Linked DNA regions of Arabidopsis thaliana. The protein of the gene in region 1 interacts with the protein of each later gene in a pairwise test. Each region holds a gene or a part of one and is shown on either strand. Other genes may lie near its edges.

Region 1 (5,204 bases):
GTTTTCACGGGATAGAGCAAGAAACACTGTAGCTGATGAGATCTGAACTTTGAGATCAGCAACATCAATGTCATGCCCGCCTTCGACTAGTCCCCATTTGTCCACCTGCATGAAACATGCGACAAAGATTAGTTTTTATAGAATGTCAAAGCAATAGATTTTGGCCAAGTGAGTGACAAAATGAAACCTGTAAATCTTCTTCAAGTCTAATCAATTTGATTGCATCATCGATCTGGAGTTTCCCACAGAAGATACCGAGGGCGATTACTATAGAGTGAGCTGATGCTTGGAGTGCATCAATGCTTGCGAGTTCACCATCATTCGTTTTCTTGAGCAGTTCTTCTACTGCTTTCACTAGCTTGTCGTCTTGTTTACCCCCGAAGATGCTAGAATACACTTTCGGTTTGACCCGAAACTCTGACTCTATCCACTCAAGTAGAGGATCAATACTCTCTACCTGAATATCTGCAAAAGACACAACTCAATAAGTGTAAAATCTAGGAGGTAGTTGAAATTGAAGAGAAAGTGTATTTTACCATGGACGTCACTAGTTAGATCATTATCTTCAGGTGCTCGGAAAAAGACGAGATCTTGATGTATCTTTCTCGATAAATGTTCTATGATCTTTGAACGCGTAAGAGGAACTCTTTCAAGTGCAGTACATGCTAGTCTCATAAGCGGCATTGTGAATGGTCTGATCCCTTCTGTTAGCTAACACAAGATCATCGTATTGATTGATACCGAGTCAGCTACCACACAAACATAAGTAGATGCAAAAGGATCACAAGAGAAAATGAGCTAGAGAACTGCAAGCCTAGTTCTTTAAATCTCACTTCAACTAATCGAATTATCAACCTATTGATCACATTAGAACTCAGATTGCAAAGTCCAGAAACCGATCAAACATTAGGGACACTAAAGAACGGTAAGCTCTCAGCTTTAAGTTGAATAAGCAATGAGCAGACCCAATTACAAGGATTCTAGCTAACTTAAATCAAACCCAGTACTGATCAGCTACAAAACAATAGCTAAATAGCTTAAAGCAATAAACTTTAGAAGTAAAACAGATCAAATTAGTGAAATGGAACAAACCTGATACTCCCACTCAGCAGCAATGGCCTTAGCAAGTGCCAAAGAACGAAGCTTGAGAGGTCTTTTCGAAGGGGTTTTAAGGGTTCTATAATCAAGCATCACAGTCCATCCATTTCCATCATCAGCTTCTCTAGTCGTCACTTTCTTGTAAAACCTCTTCCCTACGATCGAACCAGTCATGAAAGACGTCGGCATCGTCACTGAATCCGATTCGTTTTTCCGGCGAGAGTTCGGAGCTTTCACTAAGATGGGTTTCTCATTTTCCTTCTCGAATGTGAACGACGACGAAGATTCCGATGGCTGAGTATCGGAATCGGGTTGACGAGCGGCAGATGTCGTACATAAGGATCTAGCACGAATAGCAAGATTAGAGTTTCTCGCTGACTTAAAAGCTCTTCCGATTAACATCGCCGCCATTAATCCTCCCTCTCCGGTGACGAAAATGGGGACCTCCTTGCTTAGGGTTTTAGATCACATAGATCGTCAGATCCAAGCCTAAACGACGTCGCAATAACCCGGAGTGATAGTTAACCTCTACTACAATGAAGGTGTTTTGATAATTGTGATTATAATTACAATTTTATTCTATCTCATTGTAATCAGCTCTGTAATATAATATTTGTAAAGAATTTTTTGACAAATATCATTTGGGTTATATAGACAATCTTTTTTAAAAAAATTGGCTAAATTTAGTTTGTAAACTTTTCTATAATTTTCAAGAGTTACACTTACACCAATTCATTATGTGATATGTATTGTTTCATCCGTAAATTAAATAAACTAAAGTATTCTTACCCAAATAAGTAAATTTTATTACTCTAAATCCAAAAGTTTTGTTAATTAAGTGATCCGAGTCCCGAGAAAAAAATGATCCGAGTCAAAAATGCTGAAACTTAACTCAAAACGGCATCGTTTTAGCCGCCGGTTTCAAAACTTTAAAGAAAGAACGTAACCATAAAGAGCGCCAGATTCAGAGATAAGGCTCATTAAAATCACCTGCTTCACCCATCACGCTAAGATCGTGGAATCTTATATCACTAGACTCTCCCAGATCATGACACGTCATCATCTTCATCATGAGACCCATAATTTTTTGAAACTGTTTTATTTCACTCCCCAATAATATTTTCTGCTTTTAGCTCTTTTTAAGGCTCTTCAAAAATCTCCGTCAACGTCGAGAACAAAATTTGGAGAAATCGAACAGACGATCGAGATCGAGGAAAATGGCGTCGTGGAATTCGATTCCGCTGGAGATCTCGTACGAAATCGTTGGATGGATCGCGTTTGCTTCGTGGTCAATTAGCTTTTACCCACAGCTGATTTTGAATTTCCGTAGGAGAAGGTAATCTAATCTACCTTTTGTTCTTGAGATTTTGTTTCTATATCTGTAGTTGAAATTGAAATTGATGAAATCTTGGTTGTGTTTGGGAAAGTGTTGTTGGATTGAACTTCGACTTCGTGATGTTGAATTTGACAAAGCACTCGTCGTATATGATCTACAATGTCTGCCTCTACTTTAGTCCTGTTATTCAAAAGCAGTACTTTGACACTTATGGCGATAAAGAGGTTTGTTTCCTCTTTCTCTCTGTTATTCATTGAAGCATTAAGCATTTAATGAATTTGATTGTGGAATCTAGAAATGAGTTTTGTTTGGATTCTAAGATGGTTCTTGTTGGCTCTTATCTTCATGGTTACAAGTTTACCTTTACTTATTAGCTAATGAAGTCAAAATTGAAGATAAAAGTTTGTTCCTTTCTAAGTTTCAGCAAAAAAAAAACGCTTTAGATTGTTCGAGCTGGTTTAATTTTTTTTGAGTCGTTTTGTTATAATTGTTGCTTATTTCAGATGATACCTGTGGCTGCAAATGATGTTGCATTCTCGATCCATGCAGTTGTAATGACAGCTGTTACACTGTTCCAGATCTTTATCTATGAAGTGAGTAATCAAGTTTCTTAGGCTTGCCTTTGTCTCTTTATCCCATACAAGTGTTCTTTTTTTCCTGATGATTTCTAGTGATTTGCTCTCAGCGTGGACCTCAAAAAGTATCCAGACTTGCTATAGGTATTGTGGTTGTTGTGTGGGGATTTGCAGCTATCTGTTTCTTCATAGCATTACCTACACACTCTTGGCTATGGCTCATTTCAATCTTCAAGTAAGTTGTTGCGCAAAGCCTTCTGAACCAATTCTTTTAGTGGTAATCTAACAGTTTTGATGATAATGGTTTATTTGTTCATTGTTATAGTTCGATTCAGGTCTTCATGACATGCGTCAAGTACATCCCACAGGTCAGAAAAGATTCCAAACCTTAATTTTTTTCATTATTGATTGAATCAGCATTACTCAGATTTTATGTGTTTGCTTCACAGGCAAAGATGAACTTCACTAGGAAGAGCACAGTCGGGTGGAGCATCGGGAATATTCTTCTCGATTTTACTGGAGGACTTGCTAACTATCTGCAAATGGTTATACAATCTATTGACCAAAGTAACAATCTCTTCTCTATCACATCAATAGCTTTTGTTTTCTCTGATAATAACATTTTGAAAGAAAACTAAAACTATCTATTTCCTTTGGTTCTTCCAGATTCTTGGAAGAATTTCTATGGGAACATGGGAAAGACTCTTCTCTCACTTGTAAGAAAATTGATGGAGTTTTTTTTTTGGTTCAATTCTCTCTCTGTCTCTAATAAACGTCTCAAATTGTTTTTAACAGATATCAATATTTTTCGACATCCTCTTCATGTTTCAACACTATGTGTTATACCCAGAGAAGAAAGTCTCAAAATCTCCGGAAACTGGTGAGGAATCGAACGAACCACTCATTGATTCTTCTCATGAACATGTTTAAAGATCAGATTCTCAAGAGTCATTAGTTTCAGCGTTCCCACTGTATATGTTTATATCACAAAAAGGTACAAATGTGAGAACTCTTCAGATTGTCGTAATATCAGTCTAATGTATCAAATCAATTATCACAGAAACAGCAAATGTATAATACAATGTTCGATCTTGGGTTATATTTTAAGAAACAAGATGAAAGTTAATAGAGCACGATCCATTACCCATAGTAGTGCATCTACTAGTAGTCTTAGGCACAGCATAGAAGAGTTATATCTATGCAAGATCCAACCAAAGTCACTATGGTTCGAGGGGTACCATGAACCATCATCTTCTTGGCAGCGCATATCGATAGGGTCTTCTCTAAGGTTCCGTTTGCGTCCTCTGCTTTTTCTACCCACTTCTCTAATCTCCAGTTTTCTACTTGATGCATCGCGAGCTGTAGTGTACCCCATAGGAGTCCATTAACAGTGAACACCATCCTTTCTTGTCTTGTTTCCATACGTATCATGACCAGAAATTTCTATATGTATATCACTCTGTCATGACAAACTTTATTTCTCAAGTTCATTGATAATACATTTGGAACATGGAAATAACTTAAAACTAAGTAACTTACTTGAAATTGAAAAGATAGTCAAACTTTTTTTTTGTCAACTTCATAATTCTTCATTAAAAGTTTGCCAAAAAAAACAGTCAAAACTGTAAAACTCATTAGTTCTTTTATGGTAGAAAAGTTAAACAAAACAGTCAAAGTTTTTGAAACATTTATCAATAGTATTTTATGGAAGATGGTTAATATCATTTGACTACCATTGTAGATCATTAAAAGCAAGATAGCCTCTATATATATCTTAGTAACTTTTCTTCTAATGATTGTATTACTGGCTCTGCCTCATCTTCCTAAATAACTAAATCAAACCAGGATTCAAGTGGGAGGCCAATGCAGTCTTCACTTTCAACTTTCAAGGTATAGAAATGTAGCATATCTTTCTAATCAACCTAATAACTATGTGATACATTTTCTACATAATCACCAGTTATCTTCACCATCGGCACTTTGCTAATAGCGGATTATTGAAATATTTTAATACAAATGCATACACTTCCATATTATAATTAATGATGATTTATTCATATTAGTTTTTGTGGTTTGGAATCTACAGCCTAAGATGTCATTGATGCTACAAAAAAATCAAGCTCGTGGAACTAGAGCAAGCCTGAGCCAATTTGAGCCAAGAAAGCTTCTGATTGCTAGCACTAAACCCACCATCC
Region 2 (5,579 bases), on another chromosome or scaffold:
TTTGTCTATACATATTTGAATTGCTTATGTACCATTTAAAATCACTATTCATCTACCAAACTTAGGCTTTTGTCGATATATGACTTGTTTATGTGCCAAATACATGATTTATTTCTATTTTTTAATCTCTTATTGATTTTAGATATATTTTCCTTTATTTATTTATTTTTGTCTTTTTAATAACATTGACTATTTTTTCCCCATATTGAGAGCCCAATTCTGACAAGTGGTTGTCAGTTTGTCACACTATTTGTCGTATGAAACGTATGTTGCGAGATATTTTATTTGAATGGATATGGATTTTTTTTCATTTTAATTTTTTCTTTCCATTTATTATCAATTGACAATTTTTATTTATAAATTAAATATAATACAAACCAGTTGAATATAATCTTAATGGTACTGTGAAAACCATGTCTGCGTAAGATCTCTTGAATAATAAAATTTACATGAATATATATATTTGTAAATTAGTAAGAATATTTATAGACATATTTACCAAAGAACATCATAATGAAAAATAATTATCCTGTTTTATTGTCACGATTTAGATTTAGACAATGCAGTACTAACAAACAAAACAAAGACACTGCAGATATGTCGGCAAAGCCAGTGATTTTGTCTTTTCTTCAAATTTCATGTTAACCATATGCCACATTGCTTCTATGATAAACAACAAACAGCTGCAAGTAATAACAAAAATATATAATTAAATTATTATAAAAAGAAAGAAGCACGAAAACAAATACGACGAACATAAGACTTAAAAGGAAACTTAAAAGTAATTAGAGTGAGCTTAATTTGCATAGATTAATAAGTAATATGTACACATCACGCTACATACATACATTATACATTTTTTTTTGTTTATTTTTTAGGGAAATGGGTAAAGTGCAGAAGCATTCTTCGATCTCCATCATACAGAGACGACACTTCAGGCTTCTTCCTCCACTTTGATTCCGACCAATGACTTTCTTCTTAGTTTATGTACACAGCCAATAATTGTTGATCGAGCTGCCCCAAGGAGAAACATAAGTATCGAGAAATGATAACGTCATTTAGTATGCATTTTCGTTTATATCTCCTTACCTCTCTCATGTGTATTTCCTCAAGTTACGTTTGGCCCGAAACTGACCAAGCTTGTCTCTCCACTCAGCTGCAAATCATATAACCAACAGTGTATTGATCATTAGAGATTAGACCAAGATTTACGAAAAGCTATAAAAGTTTCTGTTACATACATAAATCAGATTGGTCTCAAATGCTGGGCCACCAATCATAGCAGTAAGTTATGTAACCACTAATAAAGTGTACATTGTGGATATAGAGACTAGAGCAAAGCTTACCGGCTTCATCATATCGCTCTTCATCAACGGCTTGCATCATTTTGCTCAAAATATTGAACTCTTTCGTATCAAGACAAGCCTGACCATTTGGTCTGCACAAAGTCAAAAAAGTTTATGGCACTCAAATTCACAGTAAAAAGATGTGATCTGCAAAGATTGATCTTTAAGGTGTCTGAAAATTTACCGGTCTTGTTCAGTAAATAATAAACCATCTGAAGCTGGTGCCGGTGTTGATATCTTCCCTGACTCAATGACTCTCATTCCATCACTATATGCAAGGTACTTGTTCACTTGGATAGGTATCTACAAAACGATCAACACAATTTTCAACCGCCAAACACACATTTGTATTTACCTCAGCTGATTAATTAACATAGCTATGTAATACCTTGCATCTAACAGCTATATTGATTGCATCTGAAGGCCTAAGATCAAAGCTGACACACTCCGAGGCATTACCCACCTGCAATATCGTCCCAAAACCAGCCTTAATACATAGGAAATGATTTAAGTTTCCAAGGCTGAATGTAAGTTGTATATAAGAGACCAGTTGCAGACCTTTGAAAGGAATAACTGGGCAAAATATGCCTCGTGAACTCTTTTGGTGACTCTAACAAGTCTAACCTGTAGAATAGTTCAGAAAATTTTCATGAAACACAATCTTCACGAGACAAGGATATTTAAATAAAAGAGCAGAAACTGAAACCACGAAACATACTTCGTAACCCATCTTGTCCACCATTTCCTTCACCACTTGATACATGGTTGGTCTTGCCTGCAACAAGTAACCATAAAACATCATAAAATCTCTCTTCAATCACTCTTAACTAAATTCCAAACAGAGAGACAAAACAAACGAGAAATAAAAGCATACAATTTGGACATTGGTCATTGCTGCCATAAGTAACACACTAGGCATCTCCACTGCAATAACAAAACACAAATCAACATACTCAAAACCTTGTGAGAGTGGCATAAGAGAAACACTTTGAGATCACCAAAACTAAGCAACTCAAACACAGATTTTCACGTACAGACGATAATCGGAAGGAGAAGACCAGTTCCATCTTCCATTTTCAAGACAATAGCAGGGTGTGGAGCATAATCTGGTAAATGCCCTCCTTGAGGATTGTTATGGACACATCGTAGTTGCCTACCATCCCTCATCTTCACCATAAAACCATCTGCTCCACTTTTTACTTCAACTACAACATTCAAAAACACCCAAAAAGACACCAACTTTGAAAAACTAAAAGAACTAAATCAAACCAAACAAGGAAACTCTACTAATCCCCACTAACTTACCAGCTTCCACTACACTAGAGTTAACATATTCCTCATCATTTTCATTGAAATTTTCAGCAGTGCTTCCATTACCATCAGAGTGAGAGCTGAAAACACACTTGATACTCTTGTTGCACAATCTAAGAGTGATTGTTGTGGTAGTGCCCTGAGACTTGACACCTTTTGTCCGATTACCCCAAAATTGGCTTCTAGGTTTCAGACCAGTGTAGTTGACTAGTGAAGCACATGCACCTACTTGTCTTGGTCGAATTGCAGGACAAACAACTGGTGCTTGAACCGATCTCATCTTCCTTCCTTCAATCAAACAGAGTATTTTAGTGTCAAACATAACGAAATCCAAAATCTCATAAAGTAAACGAAACATGGCAAAATTCTAGATCACTGATCCATACAACGAAACAGTAGTTTCCATATATATTCTCAAAAAGTCAAAACAATCAATGATCATCGAATTATACCATAGATATTCACAAATATTTTGATGATGATGATGATCAATAATTAGAAAGATTGTAAACAGTTTTTGATTCACTTACGATTTCGTGAGTAATAATTGAAACCGGATTAGATCGTGAATGGTATAAACAGTGGCACGTAGATCGATCAAGAAGAAGATCGAAGAGCTCTGAAACAAGCCAGAGAGAGGAAAGGATCAATGGAAGAAGATAGAGATAGAGAGAGATTCTTCACTTGAGAGATCAAAGGAGTGAAAGAATCTCCGTTACTTTATCGACGCAGTTTTTGTTTTAATTGTCGATTTTACCCTTTCACCAAATTTTGTTTCATTTTGCCTAATTTTTTAGTCATGAAAATAAAATTTTGCCAACTTTTTATGTAAACCATAATCTTCCTAATTTTGTTTTTTTTTGTATATAAAAAACAATATTGAAAGCTAATATGATATTGTAGTACTAACCTCAACTTATTTGTATAAAATAATTGAAAAAAATATACTAACGAAAGACATCAACATATATATATATATATATATAAATAGTTCCAAATAATTTACTAAAAGAACACATGATTTTGTTTTCATTTTAGGACACAGTCAATTACTTGTAATGTGAGCAAAGATCAACCAACACAATATTAATAGATAATAATAAAATCTATTAATATAAAATTGCATGGAATAATTCACTTCTTCTTTTGGTCGACAAAATAATTCAAAAGCCTCTTTTAAAATTGATTGGTGGAAAAGTTTTGATTTCGTCGTTTCTTGATTCATTCATTTTCATTTAAAATAAGAAATTAGGAAATTGTGTGAAATTTACGACTTAAAAACAAGAGAGGAAAATGTGTGCAATGGAAGGGTGAAAAAGGGATTTCAATAATATAGCCGGATGACGTGAGAACGAGAAATTGTACCAGCTAGACACGTCATCAACTAACGGCAGACGAAAAATAAATCGCCTAGATGGATGCCACGTGTACTTGCGCATCTGTATCACACAGATGGATTTGGATAAGGTAGTAGTAGAATTTATTAGAAACATGGGCTCTCTTTTCTATCTTACGTATTTTTTCTCCAGCTTCTAGATGCACCTTTTTGGTTATAAATTAACAAAAATAAAATAGTTGATCTTAAATAAAGAGTTGTATTAATGAGCAATTTATTTTATAAGCTTAAATACATAAGTTAATTTAATATGAATTTAAGATTTATTTTTCTATCAGGTGATAATATAAAAGAATAGCAATATATTAAGGTCTTTGAGTATTGGCCAATAAGCGGAAAATACAAGTCATAATCGAGGAAAGTGAAATAATCAAGTTGAAACTATATTGTAGCTAAGAAGTCAATGTCAATAATGGGCCCATTGATATGCAAATACCTTATCGGTCCAAAAATTGATAGGTAAATGGCTTCACAAACGTTCCTTCGTTATCCATTTTCCCAGCCTCAAAAATATCTCCCTCAATATTTGGATTTTTTACTCATTTGTATTTTTCCTCCAATTTGTGACATTGCTGGTAACTTGAAAGAATGAAAGTACTCGGATCTCTAGAAAATGATTGCACAATACATATTAAAAATTCTGTTGAATTCCGGCCCAAAGTTATGGCCCAATAAGTACCCATATTTTCTAACGAGCCTTGCTTCTAGCGAGGTAGCGATTATATTTTAAATTGTTGGGCTTCTACTAAGCTTTGCCGACATCTCTTTGTTTTCTTTAACATTTAATTTTTTTTTTTAATGGTTCTAGATAGATCCAGAGGAAGCTTCAAGCCCTTTTGTTTGAAGAAAAGCTAAATTGAAACTTTAATTATTGGTCATATATTAAAATAGAAAATATATTCAGATGCTCGTATATTGTATATGTGATAAGGTGTTACTGATATTTTGCGACTTTTAAAGATTCTCGATGTCGGCTGCTCGAAGCCTCCTTCACTCACTCTCACGACTTTTGCAGCCTCTCCCGACCAACCCTACCACTCTTTCATTCTTTTTTCCTTTTCTTTTTATTGTCACTTTGCGTATTTTTTTGTTTCAATTTTAACCTTTTTCTGTTTCTTATTAATTCACATAGATCATATTATGTTTTTATTTTGATTGTCATGTTGGACAAATCACACACTTCATATCGTTTATTTTCTCCAATGTCCAAATATAGATTATGTGGTTCATTACTCACTCGAAATGACACTAGTATCTCAGTGAGATGCGCAACTATGACGGAATGATAACTTAGTTATTTTTTTGTTTAACGAGATTTTATTTTTAATCCGAAATCCATAAATTGGACTACATAATATCAAAACACAACCCATGTAAAGTAAAACAAATGTGGTCCTTAAATCATATTTATCGCTATTCACACAGCTAGCAAACCTAGTTAATTAATAGTATAGGCAGGCTTAACTAACGAATTTGATAAATCCATACACTAGACAACAGTCTGAGCGACCATAAAATAGTATATC

Evidence for each region. The genes of interacting proteins can lie anywhere in the genome.
Region 2: the proteins of AT5G40670 (region 1) and BBD1 interact in a protein complementation assay, tested with the Arabidopsis thaliana proteins (one large-scale study listed by BioGRID).

The regions. Positions count from the first base shown.
Region 1 is NC_003076.8:16,283,653-16,288,856, forward strand, and holds AT5G40670 (PQ-loop repeat family protein / transmembrane family protein), read left to right. Parts: upstream 1-2,058; 5' UTR 2,059-2,315; coding exon 2,316-2,434; intron 2,435-2,525; coding exon 2,526-2,658; intron 2,659-2,937; coding exon 2,938-3,027; intron 3,028-3,119; coding exon 3,120-3,244; intron 3,245-3,334; coding exon 3,335-3,377; intron 3,378-3,458; coding exon 3,459-3,576; intron 3,577-3,675; coding exon 3,676-3,725; intron 3,726-3,804; coding exon 3,805-3,939; 3' UTR 3,940-4,295; downstream 4,296-5,204. Other genes in the region: AT5G40660 (ATP12 protein-like protein), read right to left, coding at 1-105, 188-465, 537-711, 1,093-1,509; AT5G40680 (Galactose oxidase/kelch repeat superfamily protein), read left to right, coding at 5,102-5,204. UniProt on the Arabidopsis thaliana protein: Thought to transport cystine out of lysosomes.
Region 2 is NC_003070.9:28,280,695-28,286,273, forward strand, and holds BBD1 (bifunctional nuclease in basal defense response 1), read right to left. Parts: upstream 3,475-5,579; 5' UTR 3,188-3,474; intron 2,946-3,187; 5' UTR 2,938-2,945; coding exon 2,652-2,937; intron 2,552-2,651; coding exon 2,381-2,551; intron 2,271-2,380; coding exon 2,221-2,270; intron 2,122-2,220; coding exon 2,065-2,121; intron 1,971-2,064; coding exon 1,905-1,970; intron 1,810-1,904; coding exon 1,735-1,809; intron 1,650-1,734; coding exon 1,531-1,649; intron 1,439-1,530; coding exon 1,347-1,438; intron 1,157-1,346; coding exon 1,095-1,156; 3' UTR 1,090-1,094; exon of another isoform or gene 1,015-1,089; 3' UTR 501-1,014; downstream 1-500.